Linked DNA regions of Oryctolagus cuniculus. The protein of the gene in region 1 purifies or fractionates together with the protein of each later gene. This does not show direct contact. Links are inferred from orthologs where the notes say so. Each region holds a gene or a part of one and is shown on either strand. Other genes may lie near its edges.

Region 1 (4,203 bases):
GGTGACTGGAGCTCTGGGCCTGCACCTTCTCCTTAGGCAGGTGGGCTGGGTCGGAGTGGGCTGTGTTTGGCCCAGGCTGTGGCGGTTTGGGATCTGGGTAGATGAGCAGAATTGGTTTTCTGAGACTGTGGCTCTTGACACCCACCAGAACCCATCCATGTCTCTTCTTCAACTCTCCAAGCCCCACCCCCACCCCTAAATGGGTGTCCCCATTTTTCTTTACCGCCTCTCACCTGCCTGACTCCCCAGCTGGGCCTCAGGCCGGTCTCCCCAGAGCAGATGCCTGGGATCATTGAGGAACCGTTGGCTGCGCTGACATGTTAGACAGGTCTGGACTGTCCAGCGCTGTCCCTTGCAGCCTGGAATGAAAGTGAGAGAAAGGAAGAGTGCTAAATTTAGCAGAAGAAAAGGTCTCTTGCAACCAGTTTTGCCTCCATTATTATTATTATTTTAAATTTATTTGAGGGGCGGCACCATGGCTCACTTGGTTAATCCTCTGCCTATGGCACTAGCATCCCATATGGGCGCTGGGTTCTAGTCCCGGTTGCTCCTCGTCCAGTCCAGCTCTCTGCTGTGGCCTGGGAGGGCAGTGGAGGATAGCCCAGGTGCTTAGATCCTTGAACCTACATGGGAGACCAGGAAGAAGCACCTGGCTTTGGATTGGCGCAACGCTGGCCGTAGCGGCCATTTGGGGAGTGAACCAATGGAAGGAAGACCTTTCTCTCTGTTTCTCTCTCTAACTGTCTATAACTCTGTCAAATTAAAAAATAAATAAAAAAATTTATCCGAAAGGCAGAGTTACAGAGAGAGGAGAGACAGAGGTCTTCTACCTGCTGCTTCACTCCCTGGACACTGGCCCCAAGGGCCAGACGTAAGCCATGAGCCCAGAGCTTCTTTCAAGTCTCCCACGTGGGTGCCCATGTACAGGGCCCACGTGCTTGTACTTCTGCTGCTTTCCCAGGGACATTAGCAAGGACCTAGATTGGAAGTGGAGCAGCTGGGTCTCGAACCAGTGCCCATACAGGATGCTGGCATAGCAGGTGGAGGCTTAACCTTGTATGCCACAAGACCAGCCTTGCCTTTACTATTTTTAGGAGGAATTCCACCCCTACCTCCACTTTATATGCAAATATGATGGTGTGAGGCCCCAGCACAGCTTTATCCATTTCTTAGAAATCTTTAAAGTCCAAATTAAAAAAAAAAAAAAGAATTAAAAATTGTATTTGAGGGGCTGGTGCTATGGCATAGCAGGTAAAGCTGCCACTTGCAGTGCTGGCATCCCATATGGGCACCAGTTGGAGCCCCAGCTGTGCCATTTCCGATCCAGCTCTCTGCTATGCCCTGGGAAAGCAGTAGAAGATGGCCCAAGGCCTTAGGCCCCTACACCTGTGTGGGAGACCCGGAAGAAGCTCCTGGCTTTGGATCAGCGCAGTTCCAGCCATTTGGAGAGTGAACCAGCAGATGGAAGACCTCACTCTCTCTTTCTCTCTCTGCCTCAGCCTCTCTGTAACTATGCCTCTCAAATAAATAAATAAATCTTAAATTTTTTTTTTTATTTGAAAAGCAGTTAGAGAGAGAGAAAGGGAGAGAGATATATTTTCTATCTATTTTCTATCTGCTGGTTCACTCCCCAACAGTCCTCGGAGTCTCCCACGTGGGTGCAGGGGCCCAAGCACCTGGGCCATCCTCCACTGCTTTCTCAGGCACATCAGCAGGGAGCCGGAGAGGAAGTGGAGCACCGGGGACTCCCCTGGGTCCATATGGATGCTGGCGTATGCTAGCGGCACAGGCCGGGGCTTTACCTGCTATGCCACAGTGTGGACCACCACACTGTAAACTTCTAACAAGAGTCTTGCCCTGGCCTGTTTCCCTCTTCAGCCCTGTCTTGTCCTGCTACCTCAAGCTCCAGCTTCCTGTACTTCTACAGCACCACCAACTCCCTCATCATGGAATCCTCCCCCGTGCCTAGAGCGCCCATCTCGCTCCCTTTGTTGAGCCTCTCCATCACTGGCATTTTCTACACTGCCCTAACTGCTAGGATCTTTAATCCATCAGGCTGTAATTTCAGAGACAACTTCCTGGGTTGTGGCAGTGGAACGGTGTCCTACGCGACACCCAATGCCACCCGTTATTATGCACAGGTGGGGCTGCCTCTTACGGCAACATCATGTGTCTGCCGCACAGGTGGGGCCTAAAAACGAACTCCAAACCCTAGTTTGTTCTAGTGCAGTCGGCAACTTAACTCAGAGCTGGAGACTGCTCCTCAGCCCGACCCCCGCCTAGAGGCGCCCCCACCCCACCCCCACCCCCGCCCCCAAGCCCACAATCCTGCAGGACCACTCACGTCTCTGGCGCTGGGTGCAGGTGAGGCCCGGGATGAGCGGGGAAGAGCAGCCACGGCAGAGGGTCCTCTTCACCGAGGGGTCCCTGGGGGCAGAGGCAAAGGTGGTCCGGCCGCCCGCTCCACGGCCCGCGTCCCCCCGCCGCCAGCTGCGCGCCCGTCTCACCGACGCAGGACGAGCCGCTTGGCGATGGTCCGCTCAGTGTGGCAGTAGAATCTGGCCAGCGCCTGGTTCTCGGGGTCCTGCGCAAGGACGCAGTGGGCGGCCTGGGCGGCCGGGGCGGGGTCACCTCGGCGCCGAACGCACGAGGTCCGCGTCCCTCCGCACGCCCTGGCCGGGACTCACCTGGTAGAGGAAGTTGAGCCTCAGGAAGGCCTCGCGGTCCTTGACCGGGCCCGCCATGGGCGCAGTGCCGGCCCTCGTAGGACCGCCTCCAGCCCCGCCCACGGCGCCGCGCGAGGCCTGCTGGGAAGTGTAGTCCCACGGGGCCCGCGCCCCGGCTGGCCGCCCCAGCACCCTGAGTGGGCAAGCCCAAGCCCTGCCTTCCAACCCTTGAGTCCGTTCTGGAGTTTGGGAGTCCTTCCAGACTTCCGCAAGCCCACGGTTCGGCTATCGGAGTGGGAGAGGATCTTAAAAAGTGCTACACATTTTCACGAGAGAGGACCGGTGTCTAAGACAGACAGCCGGGTATACCCAGCTAGACCTGCGCACCAGTCTCCTAAGCCGAAGGCAGACACCTAGATCTGGTGGGACAGAGGCTACATGTCCACACAGCCATAGGGGCCCACGAGCTTTGTGAAGAGGGTGAGGATCGCGAAAACACAACTTACTCTCTTTTCCACCCACCCGGGAAACACACTGTGCTTGTTACACGGTGCTGTTAACACACCAGGTGAGCCCCACTTGTGCCAACAGTTTCCAACCCCTGGCGTATAGCGCGGAAACCTGTCAGCAGCAGCCCCACCCCAGCCCACACCCTGACCTTTCTCTCCCTCCAGTTTCTTCTGTCTGCCATCCCGTTCACCTGATTCTTCACCTGATTCTCGGTGGCCGCCAGCTGCACAACGCAAACATGAGGTGGGCAGGATGTGCATGAGCGGCTAGCACAGGTCAGGAGAGGGTGAGCCGCCTCTCTCCTTTAGGGGCCCCTGCCACCAGGCGACAGAGGACCAGGCCTCCTGCTCAGGGGAAGGAAAGTGGCTGACACTTGGGATGTCTTGCAGGGGTCCTCAGACTCAGGTGAGTTTAATGCCGATGCCTAGGCCCGCACAGGCCCTGACCGAACAAAGAGAGGGGGAGGCCCAGGAGCATGCGTTTTGAACACCCATCAACACAAAGCCATTGCCAAATTACCACACAACACAGAGGTCACTTCAGTGGATCCTTTGTTCCATATAATTTTTACCAACCAGAGTTATCCTGCCACAAAGAACCACAGTCAAGGCACAAAGGTAAGAGGAGGAGAGTGGACACAGTCCTGCTGAGGTGGTAGAACTGAAATGCCCTCGATAAACTGCAGTTTCTTGTCCTGGTCTTCTGTGGAGATTGACCCAAGCAGCAGATAATCCAAGACGTTGTGTTTTGGTTTGGCATGCATTGCTTTCCTTGTTTTTTTTGTTTCTTTATTTGGATCACTTATGTACCCTACTGGTTGTTTGTTTTGGCCTAACATTAAGATGATTTACATTCTCTGAAAAGGGGAATGGCAAAGGGTGAACGATGGCAACAGACAAGCCAAAGCCTGCCTTGTGTGAACAGCAATACCAGGCCAGACGCACACAGGCCCAAGGAAGTTGCTATCTGGCCTTTTCTTACACACACCGCCCGCTTCTCACCTGTCCTCAGGGTGAGAAAGACTCCA
Region 2 (3,535 bases), about 25 Mb from region 1:
CGTTCACGTTTTCCTGGAAAAGTACACTTTCCGACCAGACCCACACGAGTTCCACTGTTTGCCCTCACAAGGAAACTTCAGCTGATACATTCTTTATGGATGACTAACACTGGTGAGCTCTACAGAGAACGGAACACAGCTGTACAGTCTCTACGTAGGAAACAGAAGCAGAACTAATGATGATAAAGTCTCATTTGAGCTTGCCCTGGAAAACCCAGTAAAATCTAGGGTGTCTTTCAGGAGTGTCTGCAGAGCCAACGACCTCGGAAGAGAGAAAGACGGACCCCTGGTGGAGCACGGGGCAGGCCTGCTCACTGTCCAGAGCTCATCCGGCTGCCTGCACAGTGCAGAGGGAATTCCAGGGGCTGCCACTGTGGTGCAGCAGGTTAAGCCGCTGCCTGTGAGGCTGCCATCCCATCAGGGTGCTGGTTCAAGTCCTGGCTGCTCTGCTTCTGATCCAGATCCATGTTAATGCCCCAGGGAAAGGAGAGGAAGATGGACCAGGTGCTTGGGCCCCTGCACCCACGTGGGAGACCGGATGGAGTTCCAGGATCCTGGCCATTGCAGCCATTTGGGGAGTGCACCAGTGGATGGAAGATCTCTCTATGTCTCACCTTCTCTGTCATTCTCCCTTTTAAATAAAATACTTTAAAAAAAAAATGTGAATTCTTGAAGTTCTGGGTTCTCCCATGATAGAACCTATGGCAAATGCCAGCACTACCTGCCCAACTCCGGGTCACGCCATGGGAACTGGGACTTGGTAACCGGTGCTAATGCTGACACCTGGTGTCAACTGGCCTGCTCCGAGGGTACCGCAGCTGTGGTAAAGCCGACCTCCGGTCTATCTGCGAGGACATTTCTGGAGGAGGCTGGCATATGAGTTGCCAAGCCAAGTGGAGAAGATCTGCCCTCAACATGGGTGGGCACCATCTTGTCCACCAAAGGCCCAGAGAGCACAGGACAGAAGGAAGGCAAATCTGTCCTCTCTCTCAAGCGGGGACATCCTTTTCTCCTGCTGCTAAACAGCAAAACTCCAAGACCCAAGCCTCTGGAACCCCAGCAGCTGCAACGCTGGCTCCCCAGTTCCGAAACTCTGACGGGGACTGAGCCATACCACTAGCATCCTTAGGTCCCCAGCTTACAGACAACTACAGAGGACTTCTCAACCTCCATACTCACATCAGCCGTAGTAAATGCACCCATACATTTACTATCCAACCACCCACCCGTGCACCCATCCACCTATTCATCCGTCCACCCACCCATCATCTATCCACTCTTCTATCCGCCCATGCATCCACCTTTTGGTTCTGTCTCTGGAGAATCCTGACGAATAGACGCTGCCCACTGCTACTGCTTTGAGGAATTAAGTCCACTGTCTCTGACCCAACAATATCATATCTTACTCCAGCAACCCCAAGACTCCGGGAGGCCACCTGGTAAGCCTGCAAGTGAAGTGAAATCCCAGACCTTTCAGAGTCCCTAACAAATCCTTGAAGGACTCAAGAGTCTTAGGAACAGGAGCTATTCACAGCCAAGTGTGGTGGCTTCACAGGATTCAAGCAATTGACACTTCAGGAACTCTCTCTGCTCCTTTCCTACCACACGCGCAAGTATGCGCGAGGTCCTACAGAAACAGGGCTCCTGAAGGCGGCGAGGGCAGGCAGCGACCAGAGACTCGCCTTCAGGGGCAGAGCCCTGCGCTTCCCCAGCACCTCACCATCGCGATGCCCACCGATCTGATTAGCGTAAGCTTGGGAAGCACAGAAGATTCACTTCTGAAAGGGGCAATCCACTCGACAGTCAAAGCAGATTAACATGTTCAAAAACATGGCAATCTGAACTAAATGTAGTGGTTTTTTTTTTTTTCTTTGACAGGCAGAGTGGACAGTGAGAGAGAGAGACAGAGAGAAAGGTCTTCCTTTTGCCGTTGGTTCACCCTCCAATGGCCGCTGCGGCCGGCGTGCTGTGGCCGGCGCACCGTGCTGATCCGATGGCAGGAGCCAGGTGCTTCTCCTGGTCTCCCATGGGGTGCAGGGCCCAAGCACTTGGGCCATCCTCCACTGCACTCCCTGGCCACAGCAGAGGGCTGGCCTGGAAGAGGGGCAACCGGGACAGAATCCGGCGCCCCGACCGGGACTAGAACCTGGTGTGCTGGCGCCGCTAGGCGGAGGATTAGCCTAGTGAGACGCGGCGCCGGCCAAATGTAGTGTTATAATCAATTAAAAGTTACAAGTATTTAATGACATGTGTGAGTTATTTCCTCACAATGCGTAAGTAGGCCACAGATGCATCCATAATTGATATTAATTTAAAATATAATAGCCAATGGGGGCCGGCGCCATGGCTCACTAGGTTAATCGTCTGCCTGCGGCACCAGCACCCCATGTGGGCACCGGGTTCTAGTCCCAGTTGCTCCTCTTCCAGTCCAGCTCTCTGCTGTGGCCCGGGAAGACAGTGGAGGATGGCCCGAGTGCTTGGGCCCTGCACCCCATGGGAGACCAGGAGGAAGCACTTGGCTCCTGGCTTCGGATCGGCGCAACGTGCTGGCCGTGGTGGCCATTTGGGGAGTGAACCAACAGAAGGAAGACCTTTCTCTCTCTCTCTCTCACTGTCTAACTCTGCTGTCAAATATATATATTATATATATATAACAACCAAGACTATTACACACATGTATGACAGAACCTTGACCACAGGGATGGTTACACACATGTATATGACAGAACCTTGACCACAGGGATGGTTACACACATGTATGACAGAACCCTGACCACAGGGATGGTTACACACATGTATATGACAGAACCCTGACCGCAGGGATGGTTACACACATGTATATGACAGAACCCTGACCACAGGGATGGTTACACACATGTATGACAGAACCCTGACCACAGGGATGGTTACACACATGTATGACAGAACCCTGACCACAGGGATGGTTACACACATGTATATGACAGAACCCTGACCACAGGGATGGTTACACACATGTATGACAGAACCCTGACCGCAGGGATGGTTACACACATGTATATGACAGAACCCTGACCACAGGGATGGTTACACACATGTATGACAGAACCCTGACCACAGGGATGGTTACACACATGTATGACAGAACCCTGACCACAGGGATAGTTACACACATGTATATGACAGAACCCTGACCACAGGGATGAACCACCATTCACTCCCATTATTCCTCTGTACCTAACAATTAGACTTCAAACTCACCGCACTGTCGTGTTATTTATTCTTCATACCTGTATTGTGCCAAGCGAAAAGAAAATTGAACTTCAGGGGCTTCTTTTCTTTGAAGGACCAAGATGTTCTCTTATACTTCTTAGAATTCAGGTTAAAGGATAACTCCATCAAATCAACGGAAACGACTTTAAAAATGCAAGAAGGAATACACATTTTATGCATACATATACATCACATACAGCCTGCACTGCAGACAAGTGTTGTATTCTGTAAATCAGAAATTTTAAAAATATCACAGATAGTGAAAATTATTTTGTTCTTGTAC
Region 3 (2,241 bases), on another chromosome or scaffold:
CAACCAAAAGTAATCTTATTTCAAAGATATCACGAAGTAAGCAGTGAAGGAAGAGGCCAAGTCTAATTTTACATGTGTATCTTCTCTCCTTCCATAAATTCTATGGCAATTCCTTTTAGAAAGAACTCTAACTTGATAAATACACTGACAGAAAAGCTTAAAACATGAATAGATCAATTAAGTAACCCTCTTAATGTAAGGTTTAATAGTCCTCAAAATTACTTCTTGAGTGGTAAGATTAAAAAATAAGCCACTGTATATAACAAGTAGGAAGGCATGAGTTTTTAAATGAACAGGAGACATTTTGAAAGTGTCCTGAAATACTGAAACATCTTATGCAAGTCTACTGCTGTTATTTACCACATACACAAAGGACGAATAAAGCAGTCTGTCTTCCTCTTAAAATGTTTCTAAATTCATTAAGCCGGCAGCCTTTAAAAAGGCTGCACTAGGTTCTGCTTATTGTTAAATGACTGAATGTAAAATTTTTTAGAGACTTGATTTCTAGCTTCAAATGAGAATTGCAAACGACAATCCAGGTTTTATTTTTGTTGTGGCTGATGAATGACACAAGGGAGGCTGTGGAGGCTGGAGTGTGTTTTCAGCCCTCACACTTCGCTTTCTTGCAAGCTGGGAGAGAATCATCATCTCCTTCTGATGGCCGAGGTTTCTTCACGGTGGAGATAATTCCAAAAGCAGTTTTTCTGGTTTCTGTAAAACAAACAAGGAAACCATAGTGCCTGAAATTAGGATATAATTTATAAAGACATGGTTTAACAAACATCATACTGGCTTACACTCTAGTAAGTGATAAAACCAAAGTGAACTGCTATGGGTGCCAATGCCAACACCACTCACTGTCAATATAGTTTTTCTTGATATACACAGATAGCACACATATTAGTACCCTGTAATTCACTCCTAATGGAAGTGGGACAACCAGAACTCGAACCAGCACTGTCATATGGGATACTGGCATTGCAAGCAGCTGTGCAGGTCACAGCATCAGCCCCTGCAGCAACCTATTGTGACACTTACAATTCATCTGGGTTTAAGCTCTACTGAAACTTCATTTTTCCAAAGTTTTGGCATACCACATACTTTTAGTTTAATTTTTATCATAAAATTCTAGTGGATTCTAGTAGTGGAATTCAGGTGAAGAGGTACAGATACGTAAGTAAAACATAGATAAAAAAGATATACAGCCTGAGGTGTAGGGGGAGCTCCAGTTGAAAAGGAAAAAAAGTTGTTAAAAGGCCGCTGAGTTTGCCACACTTCCGCATCCCAGTGACTCAGCGTTTCCAACAACCCAAGATGGACCCCGGGGGAGGTACCTAGCCTGACAGGAGACTTCTGTAGTCGTGAACAGTGTGTGTCCTTGGCTGTGATAGGCCCTTGAGGGCGTGCCCTGCCTTACCTTTCAGCTGGTTCCCTTGTGGCCTGGACAGCCCCTTTTCTGTGTCTATAAAAGCTCTTCCCCTCCCCTGGGCCTTGACTGATCTCCCAGCTCTGGTGTGGTTCCTTCCTCATCATCCCGCTTGGCCTCTGAGCTCCCCAGGCTGGCCCTGAGGAGCTCTATCGGACCTGCTGCCCCGTGACAAGCAGCACTGGGGTGGGAGTTTAACCTACTGGATAGGACGTCTATGTCCCATATTGCTAATACAGCTCCTGGGAGGCAGCAGTGTTGGCTCAAGTAATTAGGTTCCTGCCATCTACATGGGAGACCTGGTTTGTGTTCCCAGCTCCAGGCAATGGCTCAGGTCCAACCCTGGCCACTGCGGGCATTTGAAAAGTGAACCAATGCGTGGGAGGTACCTCTATCTGTCTCTATGTCTCTGCCCCTCAAGTAAATAAATAAATAACTCCTAAAAACGTACAGTCTGTACATATTTGATCATGTAAAGAAAAATAAGAAACATCCTGAGTTGTAATAAATGCAAAAGTTAGTCTTAGTTTTGTTCACCAGATTTTGAAAAACACAATTGCTTTTCCTGTTTTCCTAATAAATGACAACATATATTTTTAACATATTGGTGTCCTAAAACAGTGACTTTCAACAGGGAAGGCATGACTTCTGGAGAAGAGAAAGGAGAAAAGAGACAGGAAGCCTGTCAAAATGTGGGCAGGGGAACACACACATATAGCTTGAGAGAATATGTTTAATATTTATTTCTTTAATATAATCTATATTCATTTCGTAAGCTACAGAAAGTAAAGAAGTGAGGGTGAGAAAGCATTGAT

Evidence for each region. The genes of interacting proteins can lie anywhere in the genome.
Region 2: the proteins of RPP21 (region 1) and RPP40 purify together in Homo sapiens (co-immunoprecipitation; 3 studies listed by BioGRID and IntAct, counting the BioPlex papers as one, with this or other methods). This does not show direct contact. The link is inferred for Oryctolagus cuniculus from reciprocal best matches to the Homo sapiens genes RPP21 and RPP40.
Region 3: the proteins of RPP21 (region 1) and RPP30 purify together in Homo sapiens (co-immunoprecipitation; 3 studies listed by BioGRID and IntAct, counting the BioPlex papers as one, with this or other methods). This does not show direct contact. The link is inferred for Oryctolagus cuniculus from reciprocal best matches to the Homo sapiens genes RPP21 and RPP30.

The regions. Positions count from the first base shown.
Region 1 is NC_091436.1:139,948,107-139,952,309, forward strand, and holds the start of RPP21 (ribonuclease P protein subunit p21), read right to left. Parts: upstream 2,822-4,203; 5' UTR 2,745-2,821; coding exon 2,688-2,744; intron 2,609-2,687; coding exon 2,508-2,608; intron 2,428-2,507; coding exon 2,345-2,427; intron 360-2,344; coding exon 234-359; intron 94-233; coding exon 1-93. UniProt on the Homo sapiens protein: Component of ribonuclease P, a ribonucleoprotein complex that generates mature tRNA molecules by cleaving their 5'-ends.
Region 2 is NC_091436.1:165,377,030-165,380,564, reverse strand, and holds part of RPP40 (ribonuclease P protein subunit p40), read right to left. Parts: intron 3,396-3,535; coding exon 3,270-3,395; intron 1-3,269. UniProt on the Homo sapiens protein: Component of ribonuclease P, a ribonucleoprotein complex that generates mature tRNA molecules by cleaving their 5'-ends. Also a component of the MRP ribonuclease complex, which cleaves pre-rRNA sequences.
Region 3 is NC_091446.1:39,509,029-39,511,269, forward strand, and holds the end of RPP30 (ribonuclease P protein subunit p30), read right to left. Parts: intron 712-2,241; coding exon 602-711; 3' UTR 516-601; downstream 1-515. UniProt on the Homo sapiens protein: Component of ribonuclease P, a ribonucleoprotein complex that generates mature tRNA molecules by cleaving their 5'-ends. Also a component of the MRP ribonuclease complex, which cleaves pre-rRNA sequences.